Linked DNA regions of Caenorhabditis elegans. The protein of the gene in region 1 interacts with the protein of each later gene in a pairwise test. Each region holds a gene or a part of one and is shown on either strand. Other genes may lie near its edges. The genes, in order: vha-20 and chk-1.

Region 1 (12,904 bases):
AGGGTTACCAATACCAACAGAAGTGCTCGATGAGCCACCACCTTGCTCCAGAATTTCTTCCAATGTGCGGGTACTGTATACATTGCTGAACAGCCTGTAAAATTGTTATTGAAATATTGACAACGATTTTTAATATGTTTTTGGGTTAATCGGTTAATAGGTTAATCAATTTTTTGATAGAATTAAAATAACTCCAACTGCTAAAAAATGTTTTATTGTGGATCAAAATTCTCAACTTACTCCTGTGGATCAAACGATAATCCTTTCTGCGTGAATAACTTGTCAACTCCAAACCTTTGAGGAACTCCAATTATATCGAAACCTAGATCAAGCTCGAATTTCTTGGGCAACCTAAGTCTCAAAAACTCCGAGAACACAATAAGTACGAATTGAACAGCGCTCAGCAGAAGATTCATGTTGTAGAGGTGAACTGAATAAAAATATGTTAAACTTTTTCTGATGATTGTCAATAAGATGCATACCAATTTTTGGAGTTCGCCCACTTCCCGGTGGCATCTTCGCAAGCAAACTACTGCCGTAATAACTTTGCAATATGATGTTGAGCATAATCGTGAAAAAACAGATACTATGCGTTTCAATCCAGAAACATAAAAGAAGAATCAGCGATGTGCCTGCCTGAAAAATAATCATGTTGCTATGCCCGATTGTGTTTTCAAAATTCATTTTCTTACAAAAAAAAGTGTGGTTTTTTTTTGTTGATATTGTAAAGGTATTTTTCAGCTGCTAAAAAATAGTTTTTAAACATCTCACCATTGGAAACAAAATACTGAGACTGAAGTACGGAAGATGACGTCTGAGAATAATGCCAAACTCCAATAGTGACCAGTACCATTCTGCTTCACCTTCTGGTTGCTCTTCCTTGCATCCTTTTGGGCCCCAATAGCAATGTTTTTTCCATGCATCCATGACTTCCCACCCTGGAAGTAAAAATCGCATGCTTGAGGATTTAGGAAAAAGTTTAAAAAATGATCACTGAAGCAAAAGACGCAAAAGCGCATAGTTACCGTATTTGAGTTAATAGTTCATTGTAACACCTAATTTTCAAAGAGCAACAACTTGCCTGCAACATGTCGTTTGTCACTCTTCTCAATAGGGTCGTAGCTCAGTCGAATTGACGGTTTGCCATATTCTTTAAGAATATATGGATCGCTCAAATTGACTTGATTCAAATTGTATACCCAATCGGCAATTACAATCGGGCATGACTGAAATTACGTGTTTTTTTAGCATACCAAAACACGTGTCTTGGAGCTACCTGCTGATCAAAAGGCCAATTGGTAAAGTCGAATTGACAAGTGACGTAGAAGGAGAATGTTCCAGTGCTCCACACTTTTCCCGTGCTATAAACAGTTGCCGGCATTGCGCCCATGTATAAGTGCCAGCTGTTTCCACGAGCGCTAAAGTGAAAAAACAGTAGTATTACGAAAAACATTAAAAAATGGCGATTACACAGTTTTTGTCACGCCATATTTTGGAAGTCGCCAAAGCCCATATTTTTTCGGAAACTTATGGGGAAAATACAAAAATCGGGACACCAACCAATATCAACCGCCGACATCTTATGGACTCCGCGCCCCACTATATTTTCCTCGCGGCGGGCGGGACAGCTTGCCACGTACACAGCGAGTGAAACGTAGTGTTGCGCGGAACTTCGTTTATGTCGGCGGCTGATATTGGTTGGGGTCCCGATTTTTGTCTTTTATGTCTTCCCCGTGATTTTCCAAAAAAAAGCGTGCCTTTTTCAGCGTAAACGCCACGCAGTATATCCAATATTGAAACTATTCATTTTTCAAGACATATGTAAATTTGAATACTTAGAATTCACGTACCTGTTATACAACGCCAGAGCAGGTTGCCACAGTGAGTGAGCACTGATGGTGAGTTTTGTGACATTTTCTTTTTTGGCATCCCATTGCATATACTCATCAATCCAAGTTGCCCAGATATGGCCGTGGACAAGAGCTGTCTGTTCATGTTCGTCCTGCAATTAAATTGAAATTAAATGTATTAGGCATACCATGCTGACAAAAAACTTTTGCTTTTCCATAGAGTGTTTCTAGGATAATCTAAATTTTGGTTCAACTTTTCTTTATGGTGATAGTTTTGGAGCTTTAAAATAATGAATTTTTGTTATTAAATACGCTGTTTTTTTTTGTTCTAAATGTTATTAGCTCAACAGTTTGTAATATTCTACATTAGCCATTAAGCTGATTAAAATCTGTATGTACATTACTTACCACTTTCTCCACATGAGCAATGCTCAGAAACACGTTGACTTGGGTCACAGTTGCCTCAGATTTTACAGGTCGGACTTTGTAATTGTACTTCACCATGAGCTGTTTCTCCAGCTGTTGCTCTTTTGAAAGACCACACACTTGATTATCCAGGTGCCAGATTACCAGAATCCCTTGAAACCGAATTGTTACTTGATTATCGATAGAAAAATACCTACCAATTAATAACAACTGCGTTAGAGTCATTGCTACTTTGATGAGTTTGAATATCGGATGTGAATAAATCAAAATGGAAACGGGCAAGAAGTTGAAATAAACAAATCAGATTGTATAAACGATTTTTGATATCGTTTTCATAGTGAAGGAGGAGTCTGCTATTTGATATGCATAGCGCGTTGTTTATATGAAATGTGATATAGACTCATAAGTTTTTTTTTGGAATATTGCGGAATGAAGATACGAATATGTAGTTGGATGATAACCGAAAATGGAAGAGAAGATTGATTTAATGCATGACTCAAGTGTGTTTTTTGCTCAATTAAATTTTACTTTATCATATTAGTAAGAATATGTAAGAAAAGATATAGTTTTAAAGTATAACAAAAATTAAATATATTTGAAAACAAAAAAGTATCTCCCCGGCCGGGAATTGAACCCGGGTCTCGCATGTGACAGACGCGGATACTCACCACTATACTACCGAGGAACTGAACGATCATTTTAAAAGTTTATTGTAGAAAAACGTATTAAAAATCGAGGAAATCGATAATAAATAATGATAAGAATGATTACTATCAGCTATTGTAGCTCTGAAGCCCAATGTGCAGTCATGTCCGAGTGGTTAAGGAGATTGACTAGAAATCAATTGGGCTTTGCCCGCGTAGGTTCGAATCCTGCTGACTGCGGAATCATTTTTTTTCAAATTTCATGAACATAATTTCTTTTTAAAAATCTCGTGAAAACTTTGATATATATATATTTTCAAATAGAAAACATTAGAAAAATTTTGCTATCCGCGTATGATATGTTTGATATAAAATTAGTATACCTTTTTTATCATTTCGAACATATGTATCTTTGTGTATGTTCATCTGCATCTTACTTCAATTGATGCCCGAGAACCCTCTTCCCCCCCCCCCCCCCCCCTCTTTTTTGCCCTGTAGATATGTAGAAAGGTCCAGTTACTGCTGACTCTGCCTGAGGAGGAGAAATACAACAAGGATTGTCACACGGAAAACAAGAAGAACACATTACATAGATTACATTTAGAATGTGTTATTTTTACATAGTACATATCGTTGAAATTGGAAAATCAGCATATCAAACGCTGATCTCAAAAGATTGGAATGTTTAAACCGGTCAATAGATCAATAGTGAATATTCAAAGTTTGATGCAACTTTGGTTTTCTTTCCCACTTTCAAATTCAGATTGACAATTGGGTATACAAATATAATGGCCACACCGTTGTTTGTTTTTCCACTGAGAGAGTTTTGATCAATTAACCAGACTTTATGTTGTGCCAAATATTAAGTATGCTTGCGGAAACTCTAGCAATTTTGGTTTTTTTTTTTGGCAAATTATACTTTAGAGAGTCCAAATTGAAAAGTATGTATTTTGCATTCCTTAGACGGTTATCAAGTTTTTATGAAACCATCCCAATGTTACTTCTGAAGCTGTATAAATTTTTCACTGTAGAAGAATGTTCTGCGATAAGATACATTTATTAGTACTAATCTGTGAAGTAGATAAACCAACAGGATGGGAAAAAATAGTCAAATAAACAAAAAAGTCATCAAAATTTTAGAAAAGAATACAATCAATTACTGGAAAAATTGGAAAATGGAATGTCTCGAACGGTAATCAGAAATTAAGAATTTGAAAATAATATCGAAAATAGTATTTTCAACAGTGAAACATGGTGAGCATAGTGCTCATTTGATGAAGATGCTGTAGAATCTAGTCTTTCTTCATTCTTGTGGTGGTCATACGATAGATGATGGAATCCTTCTCTGGGTCGATTGAGGCCATTCCCACAACAATGTAGATGAGAGCCTGAAATTAATGGCATTTTTTGGAGTTAACATCAGTTATATGATGAACATTATTCTGTAATTTTCTACTTACCACAACAAGAATAACAACTAATCCAAGGAAGATAGCAAAGATTGCTGGATAATCAGAGGACACTGGAACAGTCACTTGGAGGTTTTCGCGAGCTAATTGGGTTGGCGTTTTTGATTTTGTGTCTCTCTTCTGAATGTTATGGTTTGGAATTTCGCGAGACTCGGTGCTTTTCTCGGCGGCTCCGGATTCAGCTTCGAATGCAAGAAGCTCGATGACAGCTTGTCCACCGTAAGCATTGTTGATGGATGCAGTGAGAGCCTCAATGGCGGCCTTAACGTCTGCGACAGCTTCTTCCTTTTGGGCAGATTCGGTGATTCCGACAAGTCCGGTGATGGAGACACTACAATAAAAAAATAATGTGAAACAAAGATTCCGGGATCTAACAGAACTTACCGGAAAACATCAGCATTGTTATCCATTTGTACTCCGGCGCTCTTGATGGCAGCGGCAAGTTGATAAACAGCCTCAAGTTCTTTGACAAGTGTGCTTCTCTTGGTCTTGATTACAGTAGCATCAACGGCTTCTTGTTGGGCGGCAAGAGCGAGCATTGATCCGGTAATTCCACCAGCCGAAACTTGCACATTTTCACGGTCGGCTCCAAAGATCAGCGCCATGTCTTGATCGAATCCAACATTCTCAACACCGTCGGATTTGGTTGAGTAGGTTTTTCCTCCCAAGTTCAGGTTGTCAGCTCCAATTACAGTTACGACGGCAAGGGCGCGTGGACGAGAGAACATGTCAACGGAGACCGAAAATCCTGAAAAACGATTCATCTTCTTTGCTTTATATGTAAAGTAACTATATCACTACTCACCATCAACTTGTCTTGCAGAAAGTCCCAGAATGTTCTCATTGAGAGTGGAAATCAGTGTGGTCTTCAAGGTTGCGTCAGCATCCGGGAACTTAAGGGAAGCCGGAGCTGCGATAATTTCCAGAGAAGATGCGGCACACGCGGCGACCAGAGCGGAGACGAGAAGAACAAACTTCATCCTGAAATTGATTGATTGAGAAAAACAATTAAAGGCATAACATGAAAATTGTTTTTAAAAAATATAATAAAATATATATCAGACTGTGATTTGACAACAGATAAAATAATTTAAAAATAGGGGAATAGTTTTAAAATGCAAATCGAAAAATTTATTACTCATAGAAAACATTTGGAACTGTATGGGTTACCAACTGCAGAAATTATCCCAGAAGAAAAGAAATTCATATCCCGTTTAGGACGAAAGGTTTACACATCACATAGGTTATTCCTAGAGAAAAGCAAAGCTGCGCGAGCAAAAAAACAAAAGACATCATCATAGAATTTGGAGACCAATAGGGCTAAAAAGAGTAGAGTGGGATGAAAATTCAAAGATTCAAAAATTCAAAAATTAACTATTGACATCGTGCGGTTTGATTAAAAAAAAACAAAAATCTAGTGGAATTTGCTAATAAAGCTCACTCGGGGTCGGTTTGACGCCGTTGGTAGTAAAACGGAGGAAAGTTATAAATTTTCAAAGAAAAATGATTAATATCTGTTATTAAGAAAACTAGGTAAGCAGAGTGGAGGATCGAGAACGTGAATTCTTTGGGTCCAGTGGATTTGCCTTGACCAGACGCGGACGGTTTATCATCACTTTGATCACTCCATTCAAATCAGCGCTGATAATTACCTGAAACAAAAATTGATTTTTTGATTACTAATAACTACTGCAAAGCGTAAAAAAATTATCTTTCTGGAAAGAATTCCTTCGGTGGTTTTCTGCACTCATGATTTATGTACCAAAACGCTTCTAGACCAATTTAAAAGTCAATAATTCATCAAAGGTCTCTTAACTACAAGCACTTACATGTCCTGGAATCGACAAATTGCCATTGGATGTTAGCGAATCCGATTGTCCCGGCAACACTTGCCCGCTGATATTAAAATCAATCGAGTCAGATTTGGAGTGCTTATCCCGCTTGTTAAGCATGTTGAAGAACACTTGAGGTCTTGGCGCGAACACGGCCACAGGCACAGGCGCGTTGTGTGTTCGCACCCGTTCCCACCACGAATTGCGATCCTTCCGGACTGATAAGGCGACGGTGGTGTCGCTGGCACGCCAAATGTAGACAAACTTGTCTTCTGAGCCGCAGATGATGTGCCGGCCGTCTGGTGAGAAGGCAGCACGGATCTGAGAGTGGTCGTTTTGCACCCCTTTGAACTTGCATGTGAGAGCCTTGTCTCGAATGTCATACATTCGAATTCGCGAATCATTGGATGTCACCTGAAAGTCATTTTAATTTTGCAACAAAATTCTTATCAAATTCTGTTATACATGCATAATCATTCAATTTTTGAATTTTCCACTTTGGGACTATTCTTGTTATAGTTCCCTATTGACCGATTCTTGAATTTAACTTACCAAAAGTTTGTCTCCATGAGAAGTCAATCCGGTGACTTTATGACCACGGGCATTTTTACCCCTTGTTGACCGTACATCCACAGCAGTGTGATATTTCAGTTGCTGAAAATTAATAAGGAATAAGTCATTTGCGCAGCGACAGCAATGCCAAAAATCGATAACCACCAGTCTGCGACCGATGATCACAAATTGGTTCTTATTTCTGCGTCCAAAGAATTTCAACTAAAAAAAAACACTATTTTTGCAAAACTCACATCAGAAGTATAAAAGATGCATTTTCCGTCATAGGTTCCTACAACCGCAAACTTTCCACTCTTCACAAATGTCATCGCAGTGATGTATTTCTTTTCAGTGTCATTCCAGACGGCAACTTTCTTATCGGGAATATGCCACATCCGCAATTTTCCATCCAATGATCCTGACAAAAAGTAACGATCGTCTTTTGGTAGAAAAGCAACACAGGTGACAAAGTCAATGTGCTGGAAGCAGCAAAGGCATTCATTGCGTGACAAATGCCACAATTTGACTGTCCTATCCATTCCAGATGATAGTATAAAGTAATTCTTGGACCAAGACACGTCGAGAATATCCGCAGTATGACCCTTCAATAGTGCAAATGGTTTTGCACAAAATAATCCATTGTTATCATCAGAAGCAGTAGTTGCTTCACTATTGACTACACTTTCCATAGAGCTTGGCGGTCTAAAGTGTTCCATATTATCTACTGAATTCATTGGATCTGCTTCAGGGTTTGCGTTGGCCGCATACTTTTCACGCATGTCTGAGAAATATTGCAGGTGTGATCTGACAACCCAAACGCGAAGAATAGAATCTTGTCCAGCTGTTGCCATCAGTTTTCCGCAAATGCTAAACTTGATGCACCATATGGCTCCGGTATGCTCGTTGTTCAGCTCCTGCTCGACTGTCAAATGCTCAAAGTCGTATGGGCCTTTCTTGCTTTTTCGTGGTCTGACGATGTTACTAGGGGCAACAGATGGATGATGTGGCTCGTCGCTCTCTTCTCCGTCGCTTGTTTCTTCGCCAATCCCATGACGATTCAGACTGCTCGAGCTGGAAACATGCGAATTGAATATTTTTAAAATGTGATAAAACTAACCCTGGATGAGCTGCGATACGCACACGCTTGAAAGCCCCTCTGAGCATCCCACTTGCATATCTCACTGAGTTCCGAGCAAATGATGCAGCACTTTCGATTCCGGTACGAGACAATGTCCGGTTCGAGGTAGTTTCATCTCTAAAATAATATTTATGCACGTTTAAGCATTTTTTTTTAAATAAGTGCCAACTTACAAGGATCCAATGCTATGCCTATCAGACTCGTGCTGACCACTTCTCTTCATACTCAAACGTCGTTCCACATCAAGGGTAATTGGGTCAACAGACGAGGAGAGCTTATCCGATTTGTTGGTTCTCAACTCATCGTTTGACAAGCTTCGCGAATTGCGATTGGTTACTGTTTTAGCCGGACTCAAACTATTCACTGACTCCAATGCCCCAAATGATTTGGACGATGATGGCGCTTCTTCTGGTATTGGATCGGGGATTCTGATTGCAATTTGTTTACATTCCGCTTCTGAAGCTGAAGATGGCGAAGATGCAGTAGAATTGGATGCCGACGGTATAGTCTCTAAGCTCATTGTGTCAACATTCTGACAGTCACTGAGATTATGTGCTGTTTCTACATCAGTTGTGATTTGACGAATTACTTCTTCGGCGACAACGTTGCGCTCCTCTTCTTCTCCGGTTGCTTCACGGCCTCCAAGAGCAAGCGCGTTAGGTGGGAATGGACCAGTCTGAAATTATTCGTTTATAAGATAACGTATTTCTTTGAAAATATTTATAGGTTTACCTTCATTGCCTTTGCAATTGTCAATCCTCTATCAATCGAGTTTGACTTCCTATGTCCGTTCACTTCTTTAACATCCGGCGTCGTTGAAGCCATCAGTGCATCCGAGCTCTTAGAGGAACCAACTGAAATCTCCCGCTGTATTAGATTTTTCTTTCGTTCCTCTTCTATCCGGTTTTCCACCTCAAATGCAATCGGATCTGGAAGCTTCATTGATGGTGTTCGGGGTGGCAGAGGTGGTGGACATCGTGGCATTGGTGCTACCGGAGGATGGGTTAAGGGAGATTGGACTGGAGACATTACTGGAGCTCTTGATGGAATTGGTGGTGGTACTCTTGTGCTAGGCGAGATGCCCGAGCATGAGCTATCCGTGGGAGTCCATGTGGAAGATCGATGACGGGATTCATCTATAGGTATATTCACTTTCATCGGCGTAATTGTTGCATTTGCTGATGTGTTACTCTGGCTTATTAAAGAGTTCTCGAATCCCATTTCAGAACGTGGCGCTGCACAAGAGCTTAGTGTATCCGTCGCGTTTACTATCTGAAATTTGATAAATAGTAAAAATAAACCCTGGCGGGAAAATGCGAAATTTGAAATTTCATAGAAGGTTGCACTATTTTAGGCCTATAGACAATAATTTAAAAATGATATGCACTGTGTACATTTGCGTGTCTGTGTCAATTGCTAATGTGCGTAGTAAATGACGACAAAAGACGGTCTCTAAAATGGTGGAAATGATTTCAAAACTTCAAACACTGAAAACTTCGGAATGGTAAACGCTAATTATTCACAACAAATGTTTCAAAAATCAAATTTGTAGTAAAAGGAACAGAGAATAAAAACGCTCATTTTAAACAAAAAATGATATTTCAACCATAAACATTCCCTTGATTTTATGCAGTTTGCTCCTCCATAAACATCCGGGCAAACTTTAAAAAAAATGCAATTCTCGCCTGACTCACCACGGTCTCGTTTTTCACAATCATTTTATGATGCCAAGAATGAAGACTAGGAGCGTCAGAAACTGTGCTCATTGTTTCATCATGCTCATAGTCAGTTTGCGCGGTGGGTCCAACAAGTTGTCGGTTGCCAAATTCCTTGTTCATCCGGTGCCGGAGGGAGATAAGTCTATCGCGGTGAGAAGAGTCACGAATTGATGAAGTTGATGTGGCGGGAAACTGAAAAAAACATTTAGAGTTAATTAATACATAGTTTCATTCAAATTTTGTTCATATTTCACCATACTAACAACAAACGTTGTGATACTAAGACAATATACCTTCAAAAAGCAAGAGTGGTTATATGTGTACATACGTTTAGTTTTTGGCAAGAAATGTTTTATTTTTAACGACATAGACTTGTCACCAAGAATTTTTGAAAAAGCTTTAGAGCTATTTTAAGCGTTTGTCGATTTGATTCTATTAAAACTTCATGAGCCTTACCCCTGACGACGACAAGGAAGGTGTATTGAAGACTGCACTCATTGGACGAGATGACGACGAGAATGGAGTTGACGAGGTGACAGGCTGCTCAGATCGGCGCATTGCCAACCTGGTAGCGGAGGGAGCAGCAAAATTGAGCACTTCTGGACGATGTGGTGTAGAGGTGTACTGGTTCTGAAGATTTATGATTTTTAATACTGGTAACAGTTTCAATATCATATCTGAGCAATAATCGTATTTTAAAAAAGTACAACAGAATTTTGAAAAACTCACTTGAGGTCTTCCAAATATATGCCCACTGGAACTGGGTTCTTCTCCATTTTTGAACTCGTCTCCTTCATTTTCAATTGGCGATGTTCGGATCTGTCGTCGCATTATTTGACATCGTCAATAGTTGACTGGAATAAAACCACTGCATTTTTTAAGAGTAATGGTTATTGGAGAGGCGAGAAATGTGATATGATATGAAACTGTGTATGGAGGTGAAAGAGAAGGAGAAAGAATCAATGAACAGTCGAAAAACTAAAACCAAAGACCGATAAATGTTCTCGTCGTTGTGAAACAGAGGGGGAGTTGAAGAGGGACTAGAGGGAGAAAAGGGAATACACTCCTCGTTGCGCACACTGCCTCCTCGGTGAAAACATACACACATGGACCGGTGTGCCGGGAGAAGGGAGTGCGATAGAGCGTAATTGCAACTGTGCATATGTCGATTTGCAAGAGAGATGAGTCAATCCGAAGCATGACTTTTATTGCTTAAATAAGGTGAAAATTAGATATAATTTGTTAAAATTATCTCTTTGAACTTATTTCGATCAGCGTTTTCCTGAACATATATAAATGAAGCTTACTGCTTTAAAAAAACATTAAAATTGAACAAAAATCTATTAACGTTCATGGTGTGGACCATAAAAGTTATAAACAAAAGGTTCGTAACTGAGGAAATGATTCTAATCTTCTGACAACTCAATTTTAAAAAGAAAATCATTGAACCTTTTGAAAATTAACTAGAACTAGAACTAGAATCAAAAAAAACCATGCGATAATATTTGCATTTAATGAAAATGTTTAATGCCAAGTAAGCAGAGCTTATACATTTAGCTGGAAAAAACAACAATTTATATCTATATACGTAGATATATACCAATATGGTAATAAAAAGTTTTGTGGTACAACTATCACACAAGTACCGAGTTATCAGATACGTAGATGCTTAATGAAAAAATACAACTAACGGAAAAATGTTTCTGAACTGTTAAGCATCGTGTTTATTTGCATTAAGCTCAATACATACTACAGTAATACATTTTGTTTTGAAAATCACCAATATTTAGGAAAATAGGATTTCATAAGCTCAATTTAGTATTAAAAAAAACTTACTTTTTCATTTCATAAACTTTCCGTTATCCTTTAAGATTTGATTTTTTGTTTTAATTTCAGAAAACAGTAATCCATAACGTCTCATCATGAAAAATATTGATTACTTTAATCTTTTAAAGTAAAATCCGCAAATTTTTGGTTCATCGGAAATTTTTTATTGTTCACATTTTTTTAAATTCAAAATGTTTTGTGAAAATATAGTCGTTCGACATTAAAACTTTTTCTGAAATTCCAGACAAATAAGTAAATTACACATCTGTATATATTCGTCATTTTATCTACTTAAATGATCGTTCAAGATGTACATAAAGCCGACAAGATTTTCTCAGAAAAAAACCATTAAAAAGTTTAAAAGAAGAAAATGACTCATTCCACACAAACATTCGCCTTTGAATTGATCCACTTTCCATGTTTGCATAAAATTGAAAAAAAAATGTAAACGAGAAATGGCGGGTGGGTGGTCTGCCGTAGAAAGTCAGCAATCGCAAAAAAGGAAGAAAAAAAATCGATGGATGGTAAAATTAGATAAGACGATTTGAGGGATGGATGGTGAAAAACGAGACATGGAAAGGTTGGAAGACCAAAACTGGCCACGTGGTAGATATTGGGTTCGTGATTTGTTGAATACATGAAAAAAAACGAGTACGCTTTGTCGATATAAAAAGATTTTCGAAACATATAAATTGATTCGTAGCAAAAAATATACACAAAAAGGCACTAACACTTACAAGTTCTGGTGGGGATTGAAAATAAAAACAAAAAGAAACGGTAGATGAAAAACAAAAACACTAGATATCTACTAGAGAAGAATGAGAATTTATTTTAAAAAAATTATAGGACGCAGTAGTAGATTATGACATTTTAGATACGGAACTTGTCAATGACGGCATCAGCAAAATCGACAGTGGTGGCGTATCTGAAATTGGGATTTATTTATTGGTTTCTTCAAATTGCTGGCAGTAAAAATGGGCGAAAGTTTTTAAAAATAATACATTTAGAATAAACTTTATACTTATCAAATATGTACTTTTGTCAACTGTCGATTATCATACTTGAAAACAAATTAAAACAAATTTTGAAACAAATTTGAAACAATTTACAAATATTAGTATTGCCACCGGGGCTGTGTTGCCTGTTGCCGAAAAATTGCCGAAATTTCGGCAACCGATAGTTGCGGGTTGCCAAAAATTGTAGCATTCGGCAACTTTGGCAATTGCCGGTTGCCGCACATCCCTGCTTCCCACAAAACTCACCCTCCCAAATCACGGGTGCGAACTTTTCCCTCCTTAACAACATCAGCGACGGCTTGACGAAGTGAATTTCCCCAAGCATCAAGATGCAAGTGATTGAGCATGTTGGCAGCGCAGAGAATCATGGCAGTTGGGTTGGCGATAGAGCGTCCCATGGCCTCTTGGAAAGAGTGACGACTTCCTGGCTCG
Region 2 (12,904 bases), on another chromosome or scaffold:
ATATCCCAGTACCATCCCCATTATATAAATCTGACACCGGATCAGCGGGTTATGGTAGTTCCACGCTGCATACCGCCTGAAAATTTCTGATACTGTATCCATATCAGGGGCGGCAAATGATTTTTTCCGGCAAATCGGCAAGTTGCCGGAATTGAAAATTTCTGGCAAATCGGCAAATTGTCAGAATTGAATGTTTCCGGCAAATCGGTAAATTGCCGGAATTGAATTTTTCCGGCAAATCTGCAAACCGACAATTTGCCGAAAATGAAAATTTCTGACAAATCGGCAAATCGGCAAGTTGTCGGAATTGAAAATTTCCCGCAAACTGTCAAACCGGCAGTTTGCCAATTTGCCAAATTTATCGACAAAAAAATTTGCCGAATGGTAATTGGTGCCCGTATTGGAGGGTAGGGGAGCGGAGTTTTTTACTAATCAAACCTTTTACTCGGGTCATACAACGGATCCTTGGGTCCATAGTTGTAGTCTGACGGCGGGAAATGCCAAAAAATCATTTGATACGCATTGAACGCCGTTGACGCCAAGAAGGCCGCAGTTGAAATCAGGAGTCCGACCACTGCGCCACCTAGTCCAAAGCTTAGAAGAATCAAGGGACTCATGATGTAGATCTGGAGGTCGGTGGCAAGGTACCAAGATATGAAGTAGCACTGAAACGTTTTTATGATGCACATCTGAAAATGGCCTAAAACTCACGATATCTTTGGGGCCAACAATATTCTGAATATATAAAAGATTGACCCAATAGCTATTCTGACACGTGTCATCTACCACAGCCGGAGTCATGAACGCTGGCATATCAACCATGGATCTTGTGAACACAAATGTGAAGAACAAGATTGTGACATAGTACACCGGGCTCAGACGAGCAATTCGGTGCACGTAAAACATCAGCCATCCACCTGGAGAAAGTAGCGCGTTCCACTGTTTCTCTAGTTGTTTGAACCAGAGAAATGAGAGCAAGAAGGCCGAAATGAAGAAGAAGGTGTCCACCGAGAAGTAAGCATTTGAGATTAGGGTTCCCGTATAGGTATCCTTGGTGAAGTCGTATAGATCTATGGGGTTTGCTGAAAGATTACCAATAGTCTCGAGCTTTGGTGAATTGAAGGCTTACTGATAACCATGAAAGTGATCTCTGAGCAATGTCCGAAGATTACCCAAAATGTTGAAATGACCCGAATGCAATTGAGCGAAGTTACTTGGCCTTCCTGGAAATTTATTAATTGCAGTGTCCGGGTTCTAGTCTTCGTAATAGCATTAAGTTTCGGCAAATCGGCAAATTGTCAGATTTGAACATTTCAAGCAAATCGGCAAATTGCAGGGATTGAACATTTCAGGCAAATCGGCAATTTGCCAGAACTGAACATTTCCGGCAAATCGGCTAATTGCCTGAAATGAAGTTTTCCGGCAAGTCAGCAAACCGACAAATTATTGATTTGCCGATTTGTCGGAAAAACGGCAATTGCAGAACATTTTTGGGAATTGTGTTTTTGCACTTTTTTTTGAAAATTTCAGAATTTAACTTTTGATCGTAAAAATTGTGCGTATCCTATAAATGATCCTAAATCTATTTTGAAAAGTAAGCAAATTCTATGAAATTATCTAAAGAAAACGGGAAAAATTTTAAAAAGGCACAGTTTGAAGAGGTTCCGTCTCATAAAAAATTCCTCTAAAAACTTCCGGCAAATTGATGTTCGGCAAATCGGCAATTTGCCAGTAATCAAAATTTCCGGCAAATTGGCAAACCGGCAACTTGCCTAAAATCGAAATTTCCGGCAAATCGACAATCCGACAAATTGCCGATTTGCCGAACGGCAATTGCACTCCACACTGGCAAGTACTTTTAGTTTTATAAGCGAAGCGCCGTAAATCGACCCTGGCCGAGCAAAAATCGCCTAATTCCGCAAATTATTGCATTTCAAAATATGAGGGAAGTAGATCAAACCGAAATGGAACACTCCGACACCACGTGCATAAACCAATGTACCATAATGGGGTTTGATCTACAAAAAATTGGGAAATTTTTCGCACAGAAAAATGAGACGTCAGCACGCGAAATCAGAAATCAGAGCCTGAATTCCCGTAATTCTCGTAGATCAATGGGACCAGCACTGTCGTAGCACCATAAAATCTGACCCTACCTTATGACAATTCTTCGTGTTGAAAATCTCCTTCAAATTTCGATGAAATGAGAATGCGCTGAATAACTTCCAACCAAAACCCTCCTCCTTCCTCGTTTTGTCGTTCAATTGGAATTTTTGAAAAATATCGGAAAATCCTGATAAAATGCAGAGACCCACAATCAATGATAAAATGAGTCTGGAAGTTAATTTCTATGAAAGTTAAAACTGGATAAATTTTTTTCCTGAACTTACAAAACTATCCATGTTCCCAACGAAATTACTGGAACTCTCTGATTAACATTCCGTACACTGCACACTGGAGACAAGGCTTTACTGGGCCCCAGGGCTGTAAACTTTTGCTATTACTTTTTTACAGCCTGTGCCATTTTTACGAACCTTCTCTAAAATACCCCGTAAGATCCTCATTTCGACAAGACCAGGGTAAGCAGAGATCTACTCCAATTTGCGGGAGGTTACACGAGCTATTGAACGAGTTGGGGCGCATTTTCATATCGAATAAGATTCTGGAACTAGTTGGATTTTGCCGCACAAGTTGCAAAAACAGGAAATATGTAGGTACCTGTAATAATCTCCCTGGACAGTTCGATTTAAACTCGAGGAGAACATCTGAATGGATTTGCATTCCGAAAAAGCGCCGGTGCTTAGAATATGGCCTCTAACGATGCCGGATCCCAGTTTACCGGCAGCGTCCATCACTGGAAATTTGAAAATTTTAAGTCAAAATTTCGTTTGAAACTTAAATGTTTAGCTATAATACATCTCTTTTAAACAATGTTCAACTAGTTTTCTCATTTTCTTAGAAATTGCGGGAAATTTTAAATTCCGGCAATTCGCCGATTTGCCGGTTTGGCGAAGAATATATGTGCAAATGCGCTCTACTGAACACCGAGCATTTTCGGGCGCTTTTTAAGGAAAAAATGTTTGGCCCAAAACAAAATACTATTTTTTGAGAAAACTAATAAAAAAGTTACTGTTGTAATTTTTTTAATCTTTTAAAACTTTTTTCTAAATTTTTAAAATGATTTTTCAATTTTGCCAAAATAAATTAAATGAGATGTTAGGCTCCGCCCACTTTTTGGATATATACGTGTTTTCTGGCAAGTTTAACTGTTTTTTTTTCAAATTTTATTTGTGCTCCAGTTACGTGGCGTCATGTTGTCCCATTACGATTTGATCTACAAAAAATGCGAGAACTTTTTGCCCAAAATAATGTGACGTCATCACGTTCTTAACCATGCGAAATCAGTTGATAACTCTGCCGCATTTTTTGTAGATCTACGTAGATCAAGCCAAAATAAGACACTTTGAGACCATGTACTCCAATTTGAGACGCTACATGAGTGGGCGGAGCCTAACATCTAATTTCTTTTAATTTGGCAAAAGTGGAAAAAAAATCAGAAAAAATTTAGAAAATACTTCGAAAATTTTTTACGTTTGTTACATTTGGTGATTACGGTCTATTTTCTGTCATTCAGAGTAAAAAATTTGGATCGTGTCAGGACCCACATTTGAAAAAAAATATCTCACTGGGAATAAGGTAATCCTTCCGTTCCTGATCGGTCATTGATGCTGGGACCGCCGCCGTACTGTGATGCCGGGCATATCGTGCCGCATCGATTACACCGTAACCCAAAAATGAAAGCTCTTCGTGACATTCTTGAGAAATTGAATAATTCGCATTTGAGTGAATACCGAGGGCAGCGATTAGATCGCTGGTTTTGTATTTTTCCTGGAAAATGTCAGATCGTTGCGAGACCCAAAGGTGTCAGGCTGTCCCATAACGGTTTGATCTCCAAAAAAATGCGGGAATTTTTCCACAGGAAAGTGTGACGTCAGCACACAGTCTGTGTCTCTTCTTCCGCATTTCTCAAAGATAAAACCAAAATGGGACACTTTGACACCACCACGTGGAAAACGTAGAACACTCTTGATTTGACAAAAGTGCCAAATCGTTGCGAGACCCAAAGTATCCAGAAACCCACCAGCTGCTCCATAACCTCTATCGGGTGAGCGATCAGCTCGCCGAGCAGCTCCATAGCCTTATGTGGATCGAATTCGATACCAGAACTGCATTGTAGATTAGCGAAAATTATGAAGACTAGAAAAATGGCACGTAACATTTTGTGCATTATGAATTGAATATTCTAAACTCATCTTATCAGTGTTATTACGTACGGTTATCATTTTAAAAAGTTACAATGAAATGGTAAAATAACACAAAAACATGGGAATCAACACTGAAAATCAGAAATCTTGTTTTTTCGATAGATAAGGCAAACGATTTTTTCCGACAATCCGGCAAACCGGCAAACCGGCAAATTGCCGGAATTGGAATTTCCGGCAAATTGGCAAATTGCCGAAAATCAAAATTTCCGGCAAGCCGGCAAATTTCCGGCAAATCTGCAAACCGGCAAATTGCCGAGTTGCCGAATTTGATGGATAAACGGTTTTTAACGGCAAATAGGCAAACCGGCATTTTGCAGAAAATGAAAATTTGTGGCAAATCGGCAAACAGGCAAATTGCCGGAATTGAAATTTCCGGCAAATCGGCAAATTGTCGGGATTAAAAGTTTCCGACAAATCGATAAACCGGCAAATTGCGGGTATGTCGAATTTGCCGGAAAAAACGGTTTTTACGGCAAATCGGCAAATCGGAAAATTGCCGGAATTTAAGTTTCTGGCAAATCGGCAAATTGCCGGAATTGGCATCTCGGGCAAGTCGGCAAATGGCCGGAATTGAAAATTTCCGGCACACCGGCAAACCGGCAATCCGCGGAAAATGAAAAGTTTGGGCAAATCGGCAATCCGGCAATTTGCCGATATTGAAAATTTCCGGCAAATCGGCAAGCCGGCAATATTCCAGAATTGAAAATTTCCGGCAAATCAGCAAGCCGGCAAATTTCCAGAATTGAAAATTTCCGGCAAATCGGCAAACCGGCAATTTGCCGATGATGAAAATTTCCGGCAAATCGGCAAATCGGCAAACCGACATCTTGCCGATTTGTCGACCTTGTCGACAAAAAAAAGTTGCCGAATGTCATTAAATGTAGGCCCAACAAAACTGCAAATAATGGTATCTTTTCTGTAGTTTGTAGTCGATGACGCCATTTGTTGCAGCAGAAACAAAATCTTGGAATCTTCGAACTTTCTGGAATCATCTGCAGAAAAATTTTTGTAGAACTTTTGGAGACTTCTGGACAAATCTGGAAGTTCTGGAAAAATTCTAGAAAATTAGAAAAAAAAACTTTACTGTAAAATTCTGGAGAATTCTGGAGAATTCGGTGTCATTTCTGAAGAGAAAAATCCAAAAAAACACCGGAAAGCTCAAGGAATTTACAAGAAAATTGATGTTCTTTCTATTTTTTGGATTCGGATGATTCTGTCGATATTATTTTATTTATATTTTCATATTTCCCTCATTTCAATAATTTTTCGCCTTTAATTCATCTCAATAGTGTAAAATTCTATTTAAAAAACATAAAAACATATAAAACATGTTTTTTCGACAAAAAATTGCCCGTAAATCCACACAAATTCCGGCTCCGAGCGGGATTTCGGAGTGTCGTTGCGCGCGGTAAATTCGAATGCGGCAACGTTTTCTGCGGTTTTCTTGTTTTCTTGATGCAAAATTCTAAAATATTTCAGGTTTTATTCAGTAAAAAATGTAAAACAAAACGATATTTCTCGATTTTTATCAATTTTTACCCTAAAAACCCAGAAAAATCAAGGTTTCTTTTAATTTTTTTTAACTTTTCCTGTTTCAGTGGTGAATAATCCTTTTTATTTTCAATTTTTCAGCAGAAAATGTCAGCAGCGTCCACGACTTCTACGCCAGCAGCAGCAGCAGTGGCACCTCAACAACCAGAATCGCTGTACAGAGTCGTTCAAACGCTCGGAGAAGGCGCGTTCGGCGAAGTCCTCCTCATCGTCAACACCAAGAATCCAGAAGTGGCGGCGGCGATGAAAAAAATCAATATCGCCAATAAAAGCAAGGATTTCATAGACAACATTCGAAAGGAGTACCTTCTTCAGAAACGTGTGTCCGCTGTCGGCCATGACAACGTGATTCGAATGATAGGAATGCGAAATGATCCGCAATTTTACTATCTCTTCCTGGAATATGCGGACGGCGGAGAGCTTTTCGATAAAATAGAGCCCGATTGTGGAATGTCGCCGGTTTTCGCGCAATTCTACTTCAAACAACTCATCTGTGGACTCAAATTTATTCACGATAATGATGTGGTTCATCGTGATATTAAGCCGGAAAATTTGCTGCTTACCGGAACTCGTAAGAATCTTTTTTTTTTTTTTGTCAATTTTAAAATGCTTAAATTATCAAATTTAATCTTCCAGATGTCTTAAAAATCTCGGATTTCGGCATGGCAACTCTTTATCGGAACAAAGGAGAGGAGCGACTGCTGGATTTGAGCTGTGGGACGATTCCGTACGCTGCTCCAGAGCTCTGCGCCGGAAAGAAGTACCGTGGGCCGCCCGTCGATGTCTGGTCGTCTGGGATTGTGCTCATTGCGATGCTCACCGGGGAGCTTCCGTGGGATCGGGCTAGCGAGTGCGTTTTCATCGCGTTTTTGGCGGAAATTAGCATATTTTGATGGTTTATTTCACATTTTTCGGCTAAAAATGGCAATTTCTCAACGAAAAATGTGTATAAACGAGAAAAAACAATAAAAACTATTTTCCGACCGTTGAGACACCAAAAATCAGAGATTTTAGCTAATTTTTGACGAAATGAATGTTTTTTTTCAGCGCCTCTCAATCCTACATGGGATGGATCAGCAACACGAGCCTCGACGAGAGACCGTGGAAGAAGATCGACGTTCGAGCCCTCTGCATGCTTCGTAAGATCGTCACCGACAAGACGGACAAGCGCGCGACAATCGAGCAGATCCAAGCGGATCCGTGGTATCAGCACAATTTCGGTCAAGTCGAGACACCGAACGGGCGGCCACTGAAACGCGCTCGCAACAATGATGAGAATATGTGAGTTTAATAGATGGCTTCGGCCATATCTGGTGTAGATTTACGGCGCGTTGCGTGTCGCGTCGCGGCTCGATTTTAGTTGCGAAAAATGCAATGAGGAAGGCCAGAACCCCATTTAAATTTAAAAAAAAATCACAATTTCATGTTAAAATGCTCAATATATTCCAGCACATGCACTCAACAAGCCGAATGCTCCGCGAAACGTCGTCACTTGGAGACTCCGAACGAGAAGAGCACTCTGGCGGAGAGACAGAATGCTTCGTTCTCCCAGCCGACAAAGACTGAGGATCTTCTGCTTACTCAGCATATTGATATGTCGCAGACCAACTCGGTTAGGAAAAAACCGTCAGAAATTGGCGGATTTTTAGCTAAAATCTCCAATTTTTCGGTCGTAAATTGGCATTTTTGATAATTTTAGGATGAAAATTCGCTAATGACACGGAAATGGTTGCAAAATTAGAGGTTTTTGCTAAATTTACTTTTTTTTTTGATTAAAAAACCCAGAATTTAGTTTAAATCCCCCTAAAATTTTCAGAATCTCCTCCAACGAATGGTGTGCCGTATGACACGTTTCTGCGTCGTCACCGACATCCGTTCCACGTACCAAAAAGTGGCTCGAGCCAGTGAGCACGCCGGCTTCGGCGTTCGTGAGACTGACGACTACCGTCTACTAGTCACGTGGCGCGAGGTTTCGATGATGGTCAGTCTGTACACGATGGGCGATATTCCCGACAAGCCACGTGTCATGGTAGATTTCCGCAGGTCTCGCGGTGACGGAATCCAGTTTAAGAAGATGTTCATGGACGTTAGAAACCGTATGCATGAGTGGATATGTACCGACGGAAACAACTGGCTCGCCAATCTTGGATATGTGCCAAGAAATCCGCAGATAGTTAATGGTGGTGGAGTCAATGTGGAGCACTCGGCGTCCTCGATCAATGTGGATGTCTAATTGTTTTTTTTTGTTTGTTCGTTTTTTGTTCCATCAGACTATTGAGATTTAAAGCACAATATTTATCATCATCATCATCACTTTAAACATCTCCCTATCCCATTAATTTTTAAATTTAACGTGAATTAACGCCGAATTACAAGCCTGTGAATGAATGTTTGTTTTTATCTCTGCGTCTAGAGTTTGTCCCCACTGCCTCATCATTCCTCCTCTTTCTCTTTTCCCTCTCTCACTTTTGCACAATATCTCGCTGCCCCTCGCCTCCGTTCGATAGTCGTCAGCTGAGAGAGTGTCTGCAGCAGACAAGACAATTCTTACTAAATAATACGCACGAATATATTCTTATGAATTTTTCTACCCCCTACTGTCATTAGGTCTCAACTGGAAAATCTGGAATTCGTTTTTGTAGTTTTCAAAATATCAGTGGCGCGTCGTTCCCACTTAACAACTCAAAGTGGTTCGGAAACCCATCGGAGAAGAGGCTGACGAGCCAGCCGTTGTCCCGGCCAAGCGACAGAGGTTTGCAATTTAAAAAAAGCTAAATATGACGATTTTGCGATACTGTACCAGGTCTCAACACGACAAATTTCTATAAAATTAATGCAAAAGTGTGTGTGCGCCTTTAAAGAGTACTGTAATTTCAAACTTCTGTGGTTACGGAATTTTCTTATCGATTTTTCTTAGTTTTCCGATAAAATTTCGTATTTAAATTCTTTTTTTAAACACCAAAATTTAACAAATGATGAGAACAATTGAGAGAAATCGATATTACGGGAACACAAAATGCTGAGAATGCGTACTGCGCAACATATTTAACGCGCAAAATATCTCGTAGCGAAAACTACAGTAATTCTTTATATGACTACTGTAGCGCGTGTGTCGATTTACGGGCTCGATTCTCGAAACTGATTCAGGCCCGTAAATCGATACAAGCGCTACAGTACTCCTTAAAGGCGCACACTCATTTGTATTTATTGTAATGCCACAAGATTTTGTCATTCATTCTTAAAGGCGCATCGATTCACTCAGATGGGTCTCGGCGCGAAAAAAAAATTTTTTGGAGTTTTTGCGTTTTCTTTCATTTTTCTGTTAAAGCCGACAAGCAGGAAAAGCACTTATGAAATTTGTCTAAACATTTTACGAAAATTTAAAAAAAAAACGACAAAACTCGCTAAAAACCAAGAAATTTCATTGATAAACGCAAAAAAAAAAACTTTTAAAAAACTCTTTTCGCGCCGAGACCCATCTGAATAAATCTGGGTGCCTTTAAGCGGACATGTCGACTTCTAGCGAAATTACGATAACAAAACCTTCAATTTCAATCGATTTTTTGTAGTTTTTACGATTGCAAACATATCAATTTTTGCAAATCGAAAATTCCGCGGCACCTAAAGTTTTAGACTACAGTACTCTTTAAAGGCGCATACCTTTTGACAATAAACAAAACATTGTCGCGTCGAGACCAGCTACCGTATTCTTGGCGCGCGAAAATTGGCAAAAATTTCAAAAAAAAATTCCAGAATGACTGTCGACGAGCAACTTGACGATGTTGGTCGTAAGGGTAAGAAGATGTCTGTAGCACAAAGATTGCAGAATCATGCGGTAAGGGTCTCACAGCGACACGTGGTGTCAGGTTGTCCCGTTATGGTTTGATCTACAAAAAATGCGGGAATTTTTTGCCCCAAAAAATGTGACGTCAGCACGTTCTTAACCATGCGAAATCAGTTGAGAAATATGCGTCTCAACTCCCGCATTTTTTGTAGATCTACGTAGATCAAGCCGAAATGATACTTTTTGACATCATGTTCCGCGATTGAAATGCAACAAAAAAATTCACTTTTTCCAGCAACTATCCCCCAGATCTCAAGATGATCCCGAAGAAACCGAGTCGGTGATTCGAAAGGAAATCGCGTTGGGAAAATATGATAAAGCAACAATTCGAATTATTGCACAATTTTTGGATAATATCGGCTTGACGTAAGTTTTTGACCAGTTTCGGGTCTCGGCACGACATTTTTTATGTTGAATGAAAACGGGTGTGCGCCTTTAAAGTTTCTTTATCGATTTTTCAGAGTTTTTTGTAAAAAAAGCACACGTGGTGTCAGAGTGTCTCATTTCGGCTTGACGCAGAGTTCTCAACTGATTTCGCATGATTAATACCGTGCTGACATCACATTTTTTTGGGCAAAAAATCCCGCATTTTTTGTAGACCAAACCGTAACGGGACAGCCTCGCACCACGTGGAATTTTGGAATTTTGAAATTACGAAATTTTAAGGCGCATGTCTTTTTTCAATAAACAAAAAATGTCGTGTCGAGACCGGCTACCGTATTTTTGACCCATTTTTTCAGAAGCTCTGTTGAAACTCTCGTTGAAGAGACGGGCTTCACAATTGAAACAACGTCGGGTGCCAGAGTCCGTGCGAACATTCTCAAAGGAAACTACGACGCGGCGATTCAAATTCTCGAAACTTCAAATGATCACATTACTGAGGAGACCGCAAAGCATGGATCATATATTGTTAAATGCTTCAAACTAGCTGACCTAGTTCGGAAAGGAAGGGTTCGTGCTAGACTTGGCACATGGTGTCAGAGTACGGTTTGATCTACAAAAAATGCGGGAATTTTCTGCCCAAAAAATGTGGCGTCAGCACGTTCTTAACCATGCGGAATCAGTTGAAAACTCTGCGTCTCTTTTCCCGCATTTTTTGTAGATCTACGTAGATCAAGCCGAATTGAGGGACTTTGACACCACGTGACATGGTGCATCGTGTGTCCAAAATATTTTCAATTTCAGTACTTTGACGCTCTGTTCACAATGCAGAAAATGATACGAGGCGTCATACTTGATCATTCCGAGCATTTTGATTATTTTGACACTTTTTTCAAAGACGTCCTGCTCGGAAATTGCCGATATCAGAATATTGAGTGAGAATTTTTATTTTAAAACTCGATTTTCTAAATAATTGGAAAATTTTCAGCCAAGTTGCCGAGAGGCAGTCCCAGTTGGCGTTTCTCGAGGAAATTCTTCCATCCGACTTTATTTTGCCGCAAAATCGATTGAAGACTATTTTGAATAAAGGTAATTGATTTTTTGAGGACACAAAATTCTGAGAGCTCTGCGTATTGCACAACACATTTGACGCGCAAAATATCTCGTAGCGAAAACTACAGTAATTCTTTAAATGACTACTGTAGCGCACTGGTGTCGATTTACGGGCCTTAATCAGTTTCGAGAATCGAGCCCGTAAATTGACACAAGCGCTACAGTAAGAATTACTGTAGTTTTCGCTACGAGATATTTTGCGCGTCAAATATGTTGTGCAAAACGCATTCTCCGAATTTTGTGATCTCTTAATTGTACATCAGGGGTGGGCTGCAATTGCCGTTCGGCAAATTTTGTAAATTCGGCAAATCGGTAAATTGCTGGTTTGCCGATTTACCGGAAATTTTGATTTTCGGCGATTTGCCGATTTTCCGATTTGCCGGAAATTTTGATTTCCGGCTATTTGCCGATTTGGCGGAAATTTTGATCTTTGTCAAATTGCCGTTTTGTCGGTTTGCCGTTGTTTGCCGCCCACCCCTGATGTACACACAGTAAAAAACTAAAACCTGCATTTAAAATATATAATATTCCAGTCCACGGCGCAGCTGCCGACGAAAAAGCGCCGAAGCTTCTACGCGACGAGCCTTCGAATAGTGTAAAGACGATCCCGTGGCGACAAACTCAGCTATGGGATCACCATAAATTCGAGATTTTCTGCGTGAAATTCTCGCGAAACGGAAAAATGATGGCGAGCGGTGGAAAGAGCAACTCGATCACCCTCTGGAAGTGTGCAAAATCGAAGCTCACTCGAATCGGCGAAATGGCGCCGATCAACGAGGGAGATATTGCCTATATGGAGTTTTGTCAGCAGAATAAGTATCTTCTGATTTGTGGAGGCCAAATGGCGAGATATAATGTAAGTTTTGGGTCAAAACTACGGTACCTGGTCTCGACACAACAAACATCCTTTTTCATTGCAAAAGAGTACTGTAGTTTCAAACTTCCGTTGCTGCGGGATTTTCGAGATACAGTACCCTTTTGAAGGCGCATATCCTTTTCAAATTGAATAAAAATGTATCGTACACGGGAATCAGGGTAGTGGCAAAATTTTAAAAACGATATAAAAATTTTTCCAAAAACGCGAGGGACACATTTTTCGCCAAAAAATAGAAAAACAAAAAAAAACCCGCCATTTTGCTTCATGATCTACCACTTCTAAGGCGCGCGCATTTATACTAAATGGTCTCGCCACGCGCCACGCATTAATTTTAAAATCTACTTTTTTTAATCGTGGCGAGACCATCTCGCATAAATGCGGGTGAGTTTGAAATCGTAGAGTAAGAAAATAAAATACACTGTTGTAAATATTACAGAAACGAAAAATTCTGAGAATCCGTATTGCACAACATATTTGACGCGCAAAATATCTCGAAGCGAAAACTACAGTAATTCTCTAAATGGTTACTGTAGTGCTTGTGTCGATTTACGGGCTCGATTTTCGAAATGAATTTATTTTCAATTCGATAAATAAATTATTTTAATACATTTCAAAAATTGAGCCCGTAAATCGACAAAAGCGCTACAGTAGTCCTTTAAAAAATTACTGTAGTTTTCGCTACGAGATATTTTGCGCGTCAAATATGTTGCGCAATACGCATTCTCCACGTTGTGCCAGGCTGACCCATTACTGTTTGATCTACAAAAAATGCGGGAATTTTTATCAGAAAAAAATGTGACGTTATCACGCTCT

Evidence for each region.
Region 2: the proteins of vha-20 (region 1) and chk-1 interact in a two-hybrid assay, tested with the Caenorhabditis elegans proteins (one large-scale study listed by BioGRID).

The regions. Positions count from the first base shown.
Region 1 is NC_003284.9:14,159,137-14,172,040, forward strand, and holds vha-20 (Renin receptor-like C-terminal transmembrane spanning segment domain-containing protein), read right to left. Parts: upstream 5,371-12,904; 5' UTR 5,370-5,370; coding exon 5,195-5,369; intron 5,138-5,194; coding exon 4,774-5,137; intron 4,721-4,773; coding exon 4,381-4,720; intron 4,309-4,380; coding exon 4,213-4,308; 3' UTR 3,963-4,212; downstream 1-3,962. Other genes in the region: lgc-25 (Acetylcholine receptor-like protein cup-4), read right to left, coding at 1-94, 241-430, 483-636, 772-938, 1,082-1,226, 1,277-1,418, 1,851-2,002, 2,259-2,428 and 1 more; sym-4 (WD repeat-containing protein 44), read right to left, coding at 5,919-6,041, 6,219-6,635, 6,774-6,875, 7,028-7,844, 7,891-8,028, 8,085-8,587, 8,644-9,183, 9,606-9,821 and 2 more; idhb-1 (putative isocitrate dehydrogenase [NAD] subunit beta, mitochondrial), read right to left, coding at 12,327-12,381, 12,719-12,904.
Region 2 is NC_003283.11:3,752,523-3,765,426, reverse strand, and holds chk-1 (Serine/threonine-protein kinase chk-1), read left to right. Parts: upstream 1-5,957; 5' UTR 5,958-5,963; coding exon 5,964-6,447; intron 6,448-6,512; coding exon 6,513-6,726; intron 6,727-6,923; coding exon 6,924-7,157; intron 7,158-7,325; coding exon 7,326-7,488; intron 7,489-7,692; coding exon 7,693-8,109; 3' UTR 8,110-8,274; downstream 8,275-12,904. Other genes in the region: oac-55 (Nose resistant-to-fluoxetine protein N-terminal domain-containing protein), read right to left, coding at 1-76, 439-665, 712-1,082, 1,130-1,223, 2,157-2,334, 2,391-2,484, 2,535-2,668, 2,719-2,854 and 2 more; gid-7 (CTLH domain-containing protein), read left to right, coding at 9,631-9,711, 9,956-10,086, 10,461-10,671, 10,906-11,036, 11,090-11,190, 11,748-12,070. UniProt on the Caenorhabditis elegans protein: Serine/threonine-protein kinase which is required for checkpoint-mediated cell cycle arrest and activation of DNA repair in response to the presence of DNA damage or unreplicated DNA.